2 linked regions of the Rhinolophus ferrumequinum genome follow. The protein of the gene in region 2 binds, or shares a complex with, the protein of the main gene of each other region. Links are inferred from orthologs where the notes say so. Each region holds a gene or a part of one and is shown on either strand. Other genes may lie near its edges.

Region 1 (7,562 bases), on a different chromosome or scaffold from region 2:
GAGTACCTTCCTTTTTTCTAAAGCCTACATAGTATGCCACAGCATATGTCATTTATTTAACTATTTCCCACGTTCTAATTTTTTGCTATCATGAACGATCCTGCAGTGAACATCTCTGTAGACTGGCCTTGGTTGAGTATTACTCTGGGATAGATTCCTAGAACTGGAATCATTGGATCTCCAGTGTATTTCTATGAGGTGTTTCATTTTAAAGAAAAGATTTTAGGCAAGTCAAAGAAGATATATATGTGTATACACACACACACACACACACACACACACACATATATACACACATATATATGATTTAATTTAGAGTCTTTTGATTCACAGCATGAAATAATTATTTTAAAAACCGGCCAATTAGTGCAGCAGTATGTCTCCTTTTTCTTCTTTTTTAATGGGGTCTGATTGGCTGGGGAACCAGCCTCCCCCTGCTCCCTGCTTCCTGCCTGTCGCTGTAATTGTGGGATCAGTGTGGAGACTCCTGACTGCAGGCCCTTGGGCGCCCCTCTGGGCGAGGGGGCCCTGGTGGCTACAGCGCCTCCAGCCAGCACTCTGGGCTCAGAGCAAACTATAGTTTGGATTGGCATTTGTTTTCTCAAGGGCTTGAAACTGAGAATGGGATTGCAGCAGATTTCTCTCTCCCTGATATTTCTTTTTGCAGAATCCTATTGTGTAAGCCAGATACTCCACTAAAACCAGATCCTAATGGCTGTGTTGGGTGCATCACATCTCAAGCTGCTATAAATTATTCAATAGTTCTTCTACACATAAGAAAAACTGCCCATCACAAATTCTCTGCAGCTTTTCATTCTAAACCTCATTTTTCGCCTTGTGTCATTTACCTGTTCCGAATTCCACTGAAGGTAGTTGTTTCCCCCCGACAGCACACAATGGGTCAAACTCAACTCCCCGAGCCCAACTTTCCAACCAAAAGTCAGTTTTGCAAGTTATTTAGCAAGGTGTGTCTTTCTATAAGTTGTTTTAATAAAGTTAATACATGCCTCTCCGCCCCTCCTTTTTTTCCCCTCTTACTTCTGTTTTGAGTAGTTACAGAATCTGGATGTGCCAGCAACTTTGTTTGAAGTTGAAGACTTGGCAAAATTATGCACCCAGCGTGCAAGAAACAAAGTGAAAATGTCTCACAAATCACAGTGAAATCTGTTGCGTTGTTTTAAGACTTAACTAATGAAGAAAAAAAAAGCCCTAGTAAATATTGTCTTGGCAACTATATATTTTAGCAGTGATAAAACCTTTAGAGGAACAGTTAAAAGATAATCTGAAACCTAATGTCTGTCTGCCACTTTTAATGATATATATTTACATTATATCCCACTCTTTTTGCATTCGAGTTTTTAGTGTTTTATAGGATTCCTTTATATGACCAACAAGCTGCATTTACTCAGGTAAAATTGGAAATGAGTTCATTAGATCAGTTGCAGCAGCTCTAATTTGAAATCTTGGAAAATGCATTTCTAATTAAGAAATTTCCAATCAAGCAGACCTCTAAAACTCAGGTTGGTGTTTTTTTCAGGTCTTTCTGCACATCCTTACGAAGCCTGGTCTATCATTCCTCCTGACTTTTTAGCATTGGGTTGGACAGAAATTGTGTTTTCCCTTCCTCATTCCTCTCCTCATCTTACTCCATGTTTATTCATATTTTTTCCATAAGGCATTACTATTAGCCAATAGCACTTTCAGAACTATTCATTTTTAAGACTCCAAAATACAACTGCAAATACAACTATTCCAATGCAGGGGGTTACACCTTCATGTACTATTTTCCCTTCCTCCTGTTAAGACAAAAACCACAGGCCTAAAATGGCATCACTTGTGCTAAAAGCCCATGACACGAAACCTAGATTTAATATCTGATCTATTTACAGTTTCAACCTTTCCCAGAAATATAATCTTAAACAACCAGTCTGGAATTTTCTGGTCAAGCACCAGTAAGGTAAGAGGCAATTTGCATGATAAAAACCTTTCCCATTCCCCTCCCCCCAAAGATGTCCTGGCCTAAAAAATAATCCTTTCTTTTCTTTTGTTAATAGTTTCCTTATCCCACCCTTCTTCCTATAAAATCCTTCCAGTTTTGTACAACCCCTGGAGCGCCTTTTTAGTTGCTAGATGGGGGCCCTGCCCAATTCATGAATTGCTTAATAAAGCCAATTCTTCAAATTTACTCAGTTGCATTCTGTTTTTTAGCTCATTAAAAAAAGAAACTCATAATATACAAAATCATTTGAAGGTAGGTAGTTTCCTTTCTTAGATAGCAATGATTTCTATTTCTGTTAATAATTTATTTGGAATAAACAGCTTGCTTTGTTAAGTAGATTGATCCAGTTGTGTAAATTAGGATACATATTTACAATAATTCTCAAGGTCACTTTGTAATTTCTTGAGAGATGTTTTGAAGTCAGTTATGTCAATTAAGCATCTTGTTTGCCTTAGATGCTATTTTTTAGTAAAATTATTGTATTTGAGAAAAATCTTTGGTTTCAAACAGTATGAACAAAGAAATGTTAATTTCTATTATTTAATTCCTATTGTCTTTTATTATTTAATTTATCCTTAAATACCTGAGTTGTCACTGGAACGACTGACTAAAGATAAATGCTTCACAACACACATTTCATCTAGTTCCTTTTATAAAAATTTAACACGGTCATTTTACATTTTTAAACCACTTTGCATCCACTTTAAAAATGCTAAGTGAGCTCAAATACGTCTTAACTCTTCCTAACTCTCCTACTGGGAAACCTTAGAAAACTGAACGAATGAAATGCAACTTATACTTTTTAAATTCTAATTATGGCTGTCATATTAAATTGAAGGTGAGACTGCTGTATCTGTATAAGTCAAGCGATGTACTACTATATCATGTGTTATTTAATGTGCGAGTGTAAAAGTCAAGTTCCCGGCAGAAATCCAAGTGCCTCCATTCTGTCTTCTGGGAATGTATAAATTAACCATTCACCCCCAAGCGGTCCTCCTCCCTTCCTCCCTCCACCCTATTTTAAATGTAGATAGGGGACTCAAGTCTTTTGAATTTGAAGGGCTGCTTGCTATCTCAGCCCCATTCTTTTCATCATCCTGTTTTGAATGACACTGAGCACGTATAGATTCTTTTATAAAACCACTCCCTCGGTGCAGGGCTCCGTTCTCCTGGCAGCTTGCTAATTTTGCATAGCCATTAGTACTGACTTCTCAAAATGGGCTACCAAATACAGTTCGAGAATGTTCCACGTAGTTCTTCAAAGGTCTTGAATAACCCAGTGCTTTTGGATTTCAAACCTGAAGGGGAGGAACTTGAATAATTACTAAATTCCCAGTTGGAGTGCTCTGGAGGATAAGGTAATCCAAAACTATACGTTAAATCAAACCCTCTCCGCGACTGGGCAGCAAGGAGCCAGCATAAGCCTTATTTTAAAATCTATTCTACCTATTCAGTGACCACACAGGGCTGGGCCACATGGTCGTGTCTTGCAGCCAGTCAGCTGTGAGCAGCAGATGGGATCATTTGCATTTTTCTTCTTATACTTTCTTCGATCGGCAAATTAAAGTTTCTTTTTTAAATTTATTCTCGTTATTTGCTTAAAGTATAAACGTGGTTTAACTGTTGAATTGGGCTTCCTTGACCCTCACACACCACACCCCTTCAAGTCTCTGAGACTTGTGAAAATACTCGAGGGGCAGGTTGCATATTTATCAAGTCGAACTCTCCCATCCGGGAGTTAGGAGTTTAAAGAATCAGCCTTTATTGAAATGGTGACGCGTGCTTTTCTATTTTAAGCGCTGGGCGCAGATATCCCGTGGGTTTGTCTGGCATGTGGGTCTGGGAGCGCGCGCACTTCTGAATCTCTCGCTCTGCAGCCTCAAACCTTAAAACTTAGGGTTACAAGTAAAAGGCAGATGTTTAGCTCTCAGGCTCACAACAGAGGGCGGCCACTCCGCTGGGGGAGTGGCCAGAGCCAGCGTTTCCCAGCGCCAGGGTCGCTCTCCCGCGGCCCGCGACTCCATGCCGGTTCCGCCGGGGCCACTGGGGTCCCTGCGCCCCGATGTCTTTGTGCCGAGCTCGGCGCGGGAACACCCGCCCGGGGGGGCCAGGGCACCGCGGAAATGCCAAGAATTCGGGACTGGCGCTGGCTCTAGGGGAGGTAACGCCCCGCACAGTCGCCGTCCCGCGGAGAAAAAAAAAGTAGAAAAAGAGGCTTTTCAGGTCAAACTCCTCGGGTCTGAGCAACCACGTTTTAGAGAAATGACTCGCGGGGGGAGAACACACAGAGTGCCGAGGACATTGTTAGCCAGCGCTGCCCCAGCGCGTCGTGGGTACGCGACCGCTGCCCCCGCCCGGGCAACCGGCGCGGGCCCACGTGGAGCAGCGCGGCGCCGGCGGAGCGCGCCGGGCCGCTCGGGTCCCTGGAGTGCGCGCCCCAGCTCCCCGCCGCGGCCGTTCACGCCCGAACGCCGCCGCCGGTCCCGCGTGTGCCCCGCTGAGGGGGAGGGGCAGGCCGGGGGTGGGGGCGGAGGGGTTGTGGTTCCACTGCAGCGGGGGCTCCTGTGTCCTTGTGCGGAAATGACACACGGAGTCCCGTCACGTCACGCGAGAGCGCAGCGCACGGACACACACAAAGAGAGGGGAAAATACACGGCGCCCGCCCGCCGCCCCCAGCAACTCCCCGGGCCGCCCCGGCCAGGCCCTCCGCGCGAGGCCCCCACTCCTCAGCCCTGCGCTCCCCCGCACCCCACGTGGCGCCCAAACTCGGCGCGGGCCCGCTCAGCAAAGTACAGAACTCGTGTCCCAGGTAAGTGCGGGGCGGATCAAGCCGGCTGCGCGGTGGCGGCGGCTCCAGGGCAGACGGACGGGAGAGTGGCTGCAACATCCATGCCGGGGTGGGGGCGGGAGCAGGGGAGGGGACGAAAAGGGGGGCTGCCCTAAGCGCGCCCGCCGGGAGGAGCGCCCACCCCCACGCAGGGCCGAGCCGCCGGAGCGGGCGCTCGGCGCCCACGGGCTCACCGCGCCCATTGTGCCGCGCGCCCCTTTGTGCCGCTCGGAACGCCGCGGCTCCATGGCGTCCCCGGGAGCACGCGCGCCGCGCGGGGGCGGGGGGAACGCGGAGTGGAACGGTCCGTGCTGGCGCCGCTGCGCGCCCCACTCGCGCCGCACGCCGGCCCAGCACCCCCGCCGGGCGCCGCGATGGAGCGGCCGGCGCCGCCGGAAAGGCTCTGCGGAGCCCGCGGGGGCTCGGCGCTCGCGCTGGGCCAGGCTGCAGCGGGGGACGGCTCGGCGTGTAGAAGGGGGTGTCAGAGCGGAGCAGGGGGCGGGGACTGGAGCGAGATGCCGAGCGGGGCGCGGGAGGCCGGAGGAGCCGCCGCTCGGAAGGACGCTGCTTCGGGAGTCTGTAAATGGAGCGAGGCCGGCCCGCGGCGGCGGCGGCGGCGGCGGCGGCGGCGGCGGCCGGGAGCGGACGGAGATGGGCCCCGCCGCCAGGGGGCGCAGCGCTCCGTCCCGACCGTCCACGGCGCGGTTCGCGGTTCCCGCTGCCCGGGAGCTGGAGGCGGGCCCGGCCTTGGGTGTGCACCCCGGCTGGCGCAAGGCCTTCCCGTCCGGCCGCGGACTGGAGCCTGGGGCGCTCGCCGTTGCTCCTGCCTGCCTTTCCCTCTCTATTGCAAACGTGATTTCCCACGCAGACTTTGCCCTCGCCTTATCGGTGAGTTGTGCAGTCCTTCCTGTAAGGACTTGTGTACCGAGACACAAGGTGGTTTTTCAGAGGTAAGAGTTTGATTGCTCAGGTGGCTTGTCTGGAAGAATTTTACACACCAACGCTAACCAGACAAGAGTGCGCAAAATAGGGCTAAGCACTTGAGAGTCGTAAATGGTCAATTTCACCTATTTAAAGTAACTTGAATGCTTAACGTGTCACTACACAACACGTAAGGTGCCAGAACACTACAGCTGCAGGAAACTGAGGCAAGGAAGTGAGCTCTTGCTAGCTCTGTATGTAAGCTTGAGGAGATGGAGGAGGTTCTTTTGGTGTCCACACCCCTAACCCCACCCCCGAGTTTATTTTTTTAGCCTACTGTCCCTAGTTTATGGTTTTGTATCACCATATAGGACCCTGTCTGCCTCCTTCACTCTCAGTACTGAGTTTTGCACAAGATTTTGTGTCTTAACCGCTTTACATCCCCAGTCACTAACTTAGTAGGTGCTCAATAAGTATTTGCTAAATGAATGGAGAGCCTCTTGGATTCCAGAAGAAAGGTGGGGTCAGTGCAGCCTGAACCTGCTGGTGGGTTAACCCGTCTGCATGGCCCTTGAACTGAAATTCACAGATCAAACCAGAACCTTTAAAATCTGACACTCAAAAACTCCCGCCACTGAATGTGGTTGTTACCAGAGATGAAAAGTTTGGGGGTATGTAAATTTTATAATGTAGAAACACATGAAGGTTTCCAGCCAACCAGCAAAAGCAATTTAGTGTTAGTGTAGGGGAGGTTGGGGTGTAGCATTTTTTTCTGGCACTTAATTTTGATGACAAGTGGTGATTATGGTTGCTACCCTTATTTTTCATTGTGCCCTTTATTGGCTAAATAAGTTTGGGGAATTATGTATAGAATTAATCTTTGGGGTGACAACTTTTTTATAGCCTCCTCTCGCTCGTGGTTACAGGGATGTATACATGTGTCCTTTCATAGAACTGTACATTCCTCTCTCCCCCAGAGTGAATTTTACTATATAATTTAAAAAATAAAATTTAAAGTCCCCAAAAGCACACATGCCCAAAACATGGATATTTTAATGTGCTTTGTGAACATCACCTTGCTCTTGCTGTGTCTTTTCCCCTCCAGATTGGACAATTGCTCTTCTCCCCCTTCTGATGCTCCAGTATCTCTTTCAACATTATTATTTCAGCCCAGAGCCCTTGTGGTTTCTGGAACTACCGTGTTTCCCACAAAATAAGACCTCACCGGAAAATAAGCCCTACTATGATTTTTCAGGATAACATCCGCTGAACATAAGCCCTAATGCGTCTTTTGGAGCAAAAATTAATATAAAAGCAGGTCTTATTTTTGGGGAAACACGGTAGCTGCCACACATGACCCCCACATGCCAAGCTAAGAGCTCTCCGTGCTGGCTGGCACCAAGCCTTCGGTGTGTCACACAGGAGACGTGCTGGTTCCCTCCGAGTGATGGTTACTGCCTGGCATGTTCATCCCCGAATGACCAGACTTTTACAAACTGTTGCTTTAGAGCTGAGTTGTTCTCAGCAGCTCTCCTGGTAACATGCCCTTCCTCCATTTTTCATCCAACTTGAAACATAGGTATTTAAATTCAGCCCTCTTAGTGTTTTGTTCTACCAAGGACCACCTTTCCTCTTGTCTGATTTTCAGTTATCATTGGCCAGTGAAACACAGTTGCATCAGTATCTATAAAGGTATTGGTTGCTCAGTTGAACATCACTTAATGGTCTTTTCTTGTATGCAAGAGGCTGTTGGTTTGAGCATGGAGCTAGTAAATAAAAGGATGGAGGCTTGGGGTCAGGGGTAGTTTATGTATA
Region 2 (7,742 bases):
AGAGACGGGGGGGGGGGGGGGGGGGAGGGGTGGGAAGAGTGCCAGAGAAATAAGGGGCAATGGGGCAGGGGGGCAACAGAGAGTGGAAGCACGTGGGGGATACAGAGAGTACAAGTGGGCAGTGAGTATCAGAGTGAGAGGGTGGGCAAGAGAGGAGCTGGTGGGCTGACACAGAGTGTGTGACAGTCATCATATGTGACAGAAAATGAAGGGGTGTGAAAAAGAAAACCCGTGTGCAGAGAAGGTGTGACAGCAAGTTTCAAAGTTTTCTTTCCTCTCTTAGGCGGGAGAGGCAGAGAGACAGGGAAGGAGAAAGACAGAAAGGGGAGGGAGGGAGGGAGAAAGAGAGAAATGGTGTGAGCGTCGGGTTTGTGTCAAGGAGCAGAATTATGAGAAGGGGATTTCGGGGAGGGGGGGTGGAAGAGGGCGGGAGAGACAGAAATAAAAGAGGAATTATGAGAGTTCAGGGGTCATGAGTGAGATGTCACAAGATAGGGAAACTGTGACAGCAAGGTGGGGACTGTGAGAGCAGCAGATGATGGCGAGATGAGGGGTGGTTGCTGAGGGGAGTGGGAGACAGACACTCGGAGAATGTTCCGGAGAGAGCACGTGGGAGCGAGTGAGAGACAGGTGCCAGCGTGAGAGGCAGTATCGGGGAACCAGTGCAAGCTGATAGGCCCCCTTGCAGGCTCACAGAAAGGAGGGAAGGGCTGACTAAAGGCCTTAAGCCTTATTATCACCATTTTCCAGAAGAGGAAATTAAGGTTCAGAAAAAGTCAAGTGACTTGCATGAGGTCTCCCAGCTAGCAGGTGGCAGGGCCGGAATCTGACCCCAAAAAGCCCAGCTCTAAAGCCAGCACTCTACCGCCCCACACTGCCTCCCTGTTTTCCCCAAGCCTTTCTTAAGGTGGTCGTGTAACATAGCCCAGAAATGGGCTTTTACCCCTCTGTAAGGAGACCTTTTGGCTTTTAAAGGCCTTAAAACGTTACTTTTTTTTGGAAAGGGAGACAGAACTACTCACTGCTCCACTTTCTTTGTACTACATCAAAATTTAAAACTTCTGTGCATCAAAGGACACAATCAACAGAGAGGAAAAGGCAACCCACAGAATGGGTGAAAATATCTGCCAATCATACATCAGACAAGGAAGGTGATAATATCCAGAATAAAGAACTACAACTCAACAACAAAAACAAACTACAACTGAAAAATGGGCAAAGGACTTGAATATCCATTTCTCCAAAGAAGATATGCAAATGGCCAAGAAAAAAAGATGCTCAACATCACTGATCATCAGGGAAATGCAAATCAAAACCCCAAAGAGATGCCACCTTACACACATTAGGATGGCTAGTAACAATAACAACAAAATAGAAATAACAAGTGTTGATGAGGACTCGGAGAAATTAGAACCCTGTGCACTGTTGGTGGGATGTGAAATGGTGCAGCTGCTCTAGAAGACAGTATGGAAGTTCCCCAAGAAATTGAAAAATAGAATTACTGTGTAGTCCAGCAATCCCACTTCTGGGCATACACCCAAAAGAACTGAAGCAGGTTCTTGAAGCGCTATCTGCACCCCCATGTTCACAGCAGCCACACTCACAGCAGCCAAGAGCTGGAAGCAACCTGAGTGTCCATCGGTGGATAAGCAAAATGTGGTCTATCCATACAATGGAATATTATTCAGCCTTTAAAAGGAAGGAAATCCTGTCACATGACACAACATGGATGAACCTTGGGGACATAATGCTCACTGAAATAACCTGGTCACAAAACGATGAATACTGTGTGATTCCACTTACATGGGGTCCCTGGAGGAGTCAGATTCACAGAGACAGAGAGGAGAGAGCAGAATGATGGGTGCCAGGGGCTGGGGCGGCGGACAATGAGCAGTTGTCTAACAGATACAGAGTTTTAGCTGTACAAGATACACAGTTCTGGAGATGGATGGAGTTGATGGTTGTATAACACTGTGAATGTATTTAATACCACTTCAGAATGGTTAAGATAGTAAATTGTATGTTGTAGTTTATCACAATTTAAAACATTTCTCAGGGCTGACCGGTGGTTCAGTCGGTTGGAGCGTGCGGGGGCTCTCAACCACAAGGTTGCCGGTTCGACTCCTGCAAGGAATGGTAGGCTGTGCCCCCTGCAACTAACAACAGCAGCTGGACCTGGAGCTGAGCTGCGCCCTCCACAACTAAGACTGAAAGGGCAACAACCTAAGATTGAAAGGACAACTTTACTTGGAAAAAAGTCCTGGAAGTACACACTGTTCCCCAATAAAGTCCTGTTTCTCTTCCCCAATAACATCTTTTTTTAAAAAAAGCATTTCTCAAAGCTCATCCCCACATCACCATGCCCCTCCCCACGCCCCCGCAGCCACCTGGTGAATGCTTACTCATTTTTCAAAACAAATGCCTCTTCCTCCTGTGAGGCCTTCCTTCCCTTAGCCCAGCGACCCTTGTAATTGGCCACTCCCCCTTTTATGCCCACATTATGCCTTCCACGTTATACCTTACAGCACCTATCAAACCTTACAGCTTTACCTACCGCTTTCCACTACCAGCTTATAAGCAATCAGGTGGCAGGACCAATGTTTCACTCATCTCTGTGTGCCCTAGGCCGGCAAAGACTCAACAAAGGCTCGATCAACTGAAGTTCTGGCTCTTAAGGAATTCATAACGGAGAGTTATTTAACAAAAAAACAAAACAAAAAAAAAAAAAAAACAGGGCATCCGCGGGCTCCCCAGGCTTTAGAAATCTGAGCGGATTCCCACGCCCTACTCGGAGAAATCGGGCGCGTTTCACAGGCTGGGCCTCAGCAGTTTCGAGAGCCCTCCTCCCCCACTCCCGGCCAGCGGCCCAGACATACCTCCGATAATGGGCAGCCTGCTCTGGGCTTAAGACCTCGGCTTCCGCAAACCCTCTGGACGCCTCCATGACCCTCAGCTTGGGTTCCAGGTATCTCCGCCCGGGATTGAATTTCGTTCGCTCCCGCCCTGCGCATGCGCCCCAACCGTCGGCCTCTGGCTAGCCAATCCGCTACACCGCGCTCCGGCACCACCGCCTGAGCCCCGCCCACGAAGCTCGTGCGCCTGCGCCTACGCGCGCTGGAGCTAAGAGGCCGTCCGGCCTCCCGGCGGCGTGGGGTGGGCGTGTCACCTCGTCTTGTCTAGCATTTTCAGTCCAATCCAAACGGTGCTGAGGCTCTTCCGTGTGTGTGTGTGTGTGTGTGTGTGTGTGTGTGTCTGTGTGTGTGTGTGTGTGTCTGTGTGTGTGTGTGTGTGTGTGTGTGTGTGTGTGCTGTCCTCGTGAGTAGACTGCGTGATATGAGCTGTCATTTTAGTAGCCACTAGAGACCTCCTCCACAGCGTGCACCCCAAATATCCTACCTTCCCTGCTCGCCCACGCCTGGCATTCAGCATGCTTGGAATTCAAACACCCTGGGAGGCATCGACCCGGTGACTTAAACTCACACTGAAGAAGGGTCTACAGGAACCGAGCCAAAGCTTTCATTTAAGAAATAAGGAGTGCTGTCGTTATGGTCAACGTTTCTTCAGAAGCGCCCATTGAGATGTAGTCATATTTTCAAAGGCAGAGCTCAGGGGGTCTGGGAACGCAGCGATTGAGTTTAATGGCTTGCTTGGGCAACGCAAATAGGAGGTTGTGAGACAAAAATTGTTCTTGTTCATATACCGATAAGAACAAGAACATTATGATTCCTCAAGGCAGTAATTAACACTCAGTATTTGAAAACTCACCAATTGGCCCAGTCATATGGCAACCATATGGCCAGAGGATTTTAAGCTTTTTGTACATTTCATAGACCACTGGGCGTTACAAACGGGATCTCAGAGAAGATGGGCTATTTTCCTGGTTTATATGACTTGAAGTCTAGGCCCTCTCTTAGGAGGGCTTTTAGTATACTATTATCCCCATTTTTCAGAGATGAAAACTGAGGCTCAGAGAGATAAAATGACTTTGCCTAAGATTCCAGAGCTGGAAAATGGCAGAGCAAAGGCCTTGATCACTGGGAAGAAAGGACCAACCATCCCGCTCCCCTGCCCTTAGGCTACTGGATTTTTCTCGGGTGCCATTTTCACACAGCCACAGGACTCCCCCTTCTTTAAACCCATGAAGTCCTCCAGCTCTCCTTCCTTTCCCCTCAGTCCTGCACTCCTTGCTTCCTTTGAGCTCTCCTCAGTGCGTTCTGGAGCCCCCACTCCCACCCCAGGGCACCAGTGACCTGGGAAACTCACCACTCATAGCTCCTAGTCCTCCTTTGTTACTGGTCACACACATTCACAGACTGGAAACAACAGAGAAGTTAGGGAGGATGTATAGTAGGTAAATGGAGAGAATGAAAGAATCAAAATAATAGTTACTACTATATCCCGTTTACGTTGCCAGACTCTGTTCAAAGCACTTTTACTTACGTTAACTGTCTTGGCTGTACCTCATTTCACATCTACCCCGAGGGGAGGGCTCCCATTCCCCCAGCTTCTCTCAAGGGGATGGGGTTTTAAGAGCCTTCCCTAATTATTGTTAATTTTTTAAGTGTGATAATGGTACTGTTGTATTTTTTAAAGTCCTTATCTGCTAGAGATACATAATGGAATATTTTCAGATAAAATGATATGACATCTGGGATTTACATTAAAATACTTCAGTTGGGGAAAAAAACGAGAGGGGCACAGATGAACATAGATTGGCAGAATGTTGATAATTGTTGAAGCTTATTAGAAGAGGTTCATTATCCTCTACTTCTCTGCATGTTTGAAATTTTCCATAATAACAAATTTTTGTTATCTGTTCTGCAAATTACACTGAGTCACCCGCACTCACAAACTGCAAATAAGATAATGAGGTCTTGTGGGAGAGTTCAGAATGGGTAAATGGAGAGATGGATGGGGCACTTGAATGCCAGGCCTTGTTCTACACACTTTATACATACCCTCACGACCTTGTTAGCTAGTGTATATTGCTATTGTCTTCCCTTTATAATAAGGGACCTGAGGCACAGAAATATTGAATAAGTTACACAAATTTGCACAGCTTGTGAGTGGTAAAGCTGGGGTCCGAACCCTGGCAGTGTGGCTTTTGAGGTTTTGCTCTTACATACTCCACTGGTTAGATATAGAAAGCAGCTGATAGATGAAGAGAGGGATCCCTTCATCCATTTACTTATTCATTTATTTAATGAATATGTGTTGAGCCTTTACGAGATGGTCAGGCAAGAATGTGGGTGCTGGGGTACAGTGGTGAACAAAACAGACAGACAGGTCCTTGCTGTCAAGGAGCTTATGGTGGGGGTTGACTTGAAACAATAATCACGTGAGCATGTGGAAAATTACAAACTGTGATGAGGGCGCACAAGGCAAACTCCAGGGAGTCCTGAGAGCAGATGATGAGCGACCTGACCCAGTCTGGCCGGCCTGGGAAAGATTTCTCTGAGGAAGTAGCATTTGAGCTCTTAGTGCTGAAGGATAAGGAAGAGTTAACTAAACCAAAAAGGCAAGGGAAGAGCATTACCTAGGTTCCTTGGCTCCCAGCCCCATGCTCTTTCCAGCACAGACCATGGCTTTCCTACCTAGCAGGAGGAAGGAAGCCAACTGGGTGTCAGAAGAATGCTGCTCTTGGGGACTGACACTGGGAGAGGGTGTTTTTGGAGACAGGTATAAATAACCACATGGAATCTTCATGGGCAAGGAGATCGTCTTTGGGGCAGAAAAGAGAAAGAAGTGATTTGGAAGCAGGAAGAATTTGATTCCTAGATGCCTAATTACGTTTTCTCCCCCTGTTTCTAGCTAGGGTTTTAAAGTGGGTGGGATTTTTTAGAGGGTGGAAAGGGGAGCTGGGGCTGAGGTCTTAATCCCCTGTTTTGGAGAGGGAAGCAAGAGGTAGGCGCTCTGTCCCGCTCGGCGCCCAGCCATAGGTCATCTCCAGCTCTGCCAGCAGGGGGAGCTGGAAACCAAATTTCCTGAGAATGGCAGCGGGCATGCTCCCCCCGCCCCCACCTCCCGAGCTGGACAAATTCTTACTGGAAACTAACAAAGTCGTCCCAGGATGCTGTGGAAATGACAGGAACGGGGGAGGGGGGGTGGGAGAAGGAGCCAAGAGTTAGGATTATCTGCAGGGTCTTTGCACTAAATTGCCAAGTCTTTGATGATTCCCTTCTAAACCTGCAGGCACCAAAGGGTAGGGCATCCTTTGACAGGACAATGCTGCTGCACAAAACATGGCATCCTCCTCTCCCTTCGTGCTACCTCATCCACTCCCAAGACCTCACAGTTCTGTCTCTAGCCTCATCCTCCCTCCTTAGTTTCAGACCTAGATGACCAACTGGATACAGGACATGTCTTCCTAGAAGCTCACTCCACATGGCACTGAATTCATCTCCCACACACCCTTAGAGTTGTTCCCTCAATATTTCCCATCCCCGTGAACAGCACTAGCAATACCCCAGTTGTTCAAGTCAGAAACTGGAGGCATCTTTCCAATCCACCAGAACGTCTTGTTGGCTCTTCCTCCAACATACATACATCCCAAACCCAAACACCTCTTTCCCTCTCCACTGCTACCGGTCTGGTCTATGTCACCCTCATTTCTTGCCTGGCTCACTGCAATGGCCTTCTGACTTTCTTCCTGCTTTTATTTGTGCCTGCTCCTCACTGTCGCTACACCCAGAAACCAGAATGATCTTTCAAAAACATGGATCCTGTCATGGTCCTGCCTAAACACTTCAAAGCCTCCTCCTTTCCCTCAGAATCAAGTGTTGCCTCCTCGCTATGGCTTACACGGCCCTCCTGATCTGGTCCCTGACTGCTTCTTCCACCTTATGTTTCACTTCTTCATGGCCCCTGCGCACGCACATGCGTGCACACACACACGCACACACACCACTCTTCTCTAACTGAGCCACCTTTCTTACTCACATCTTGCCTCTAGGCCCTCTCACATGCTGTTTCCTCTGCATGGACTTTCTTCTGTTGACTCCTTGGTTCTCAGCTCAGGTCTCCCTTGTTCCAGGGACCTTCCATGATCCTTCCCAACAGTGGTCCTCTGTAACACAATGTGACACACGCTGCCTCTATCACTGAACTTAGTCCATGGAATGTGGCTGCCCAGTAATCTCTCTGGCTCCCCCATGATCATGTGAGCGCTGTGAAGGACAGATCTGTCTTTTTCAGTTACAGCTTCACAGAGCTTAGCACAGTCCCTACATAATGTAACTGATAAGGATTTGTTAGATGGATGGATGGATGAATTTGTCAATTTACTAACCCTAAATTGCAGCACTGGGCCCCCGGTGGGAGATATCTCCAAAGCAATAATGGGGACCAGGAGCCAGGGAAGGGGAGAGATCCAAGCATACCTATACCAGCCACTCCTCTTGCCAGCATTGGATGGGCTCCAGCCAGTACATGGTGTTGTTGGATCCTCTGGACACCCTGTACCTACTTGTTCCCCAGGTCAAGGGTATTTCTGGGAGCTCCTCAGCTTCTTCACCCTCCTCCTGGAACAGCACTGCATGGTGACCCTGCCATCCCAAAAGATGGGATCAAGGCTCCTCCCTGGTGCCAGCCCAGGAAGGGACTCCCAGGGAGCACCTAATCTTTTTCTTAAAAAAATTTTATTTGAGGACAGTGTTTCTCCAGGGCCCGTAGCTCCAAGTCATTGTCCTTCAATCTAGTTGTGGAGGGCACAGCTCAGCTGCAAGTCCAGTTGCTGTTGTCAA

What was found.
Region 1: the proteins of ERCC6L (region 2) and BEND3 are in contact, whole or in part, in a crystal structure (PDB 5JNO), measured with the Homo sapiens proteins. The link is inferred for Rhinolophus ferrumequinum from reciprocal best matches to the Homo sapiens genes ERCC6L and BEND3. Residues at the interface, in NP_060139.2 of Homo sapiens: Ala10, Glu11, Ala12, Leu13, Ser14, Pro15, Glu16, Ala18, Ala19, Tyr21, Leu22, Arg23, Lys26, Phe51, Pro52, Asn53, Glu54, Lys55; in NP_001073919.1 of Homo sapiens: Glu252, Gln255, Ile256, Gln259, Leu261, Asp265, Arg269, Val272, Gln273, Pro276, Phe279, Ser280, Phe335, Arg338, Phe339, Gln342, Glu346.

The regions. Positions count from the first base shown.
Region 1 is NC_046286.1:60,222,830-60,230,391, reverse strand, and holds the start of BEND3 (BEN domain-containing protein 3), read left to right. Parts: upstream 1-4,531; 5' UTR 4,532-4,808; intron 4,809-7,562. UniProt on the Homo sapiens protein: Transcriptional repressor which associates with the NoRC (nucleolar remodeling complex) complex and plays a key role in repressing rDNA transcription.
Region 2 is NC_046284.1:1,229,684-1,237,425, reverse strand, and holds the start of ERCC6L (DNA excision repair protein ERCC-6-like), read right to left. Parts: upstream 3,001-7,742; 5' UTR 2,945-3,000; coding exon 2,877-2,944; intron 1-2,876. UniProt on the Homo sapiens protein: DNA helicase that acts as a tension sensor that associates with catenated DNA which is stretched under tension until it is resolved during anaphase. Functions as ATP-dependent DNA translocase. Can promote Holliday junction branch migration (in vitro).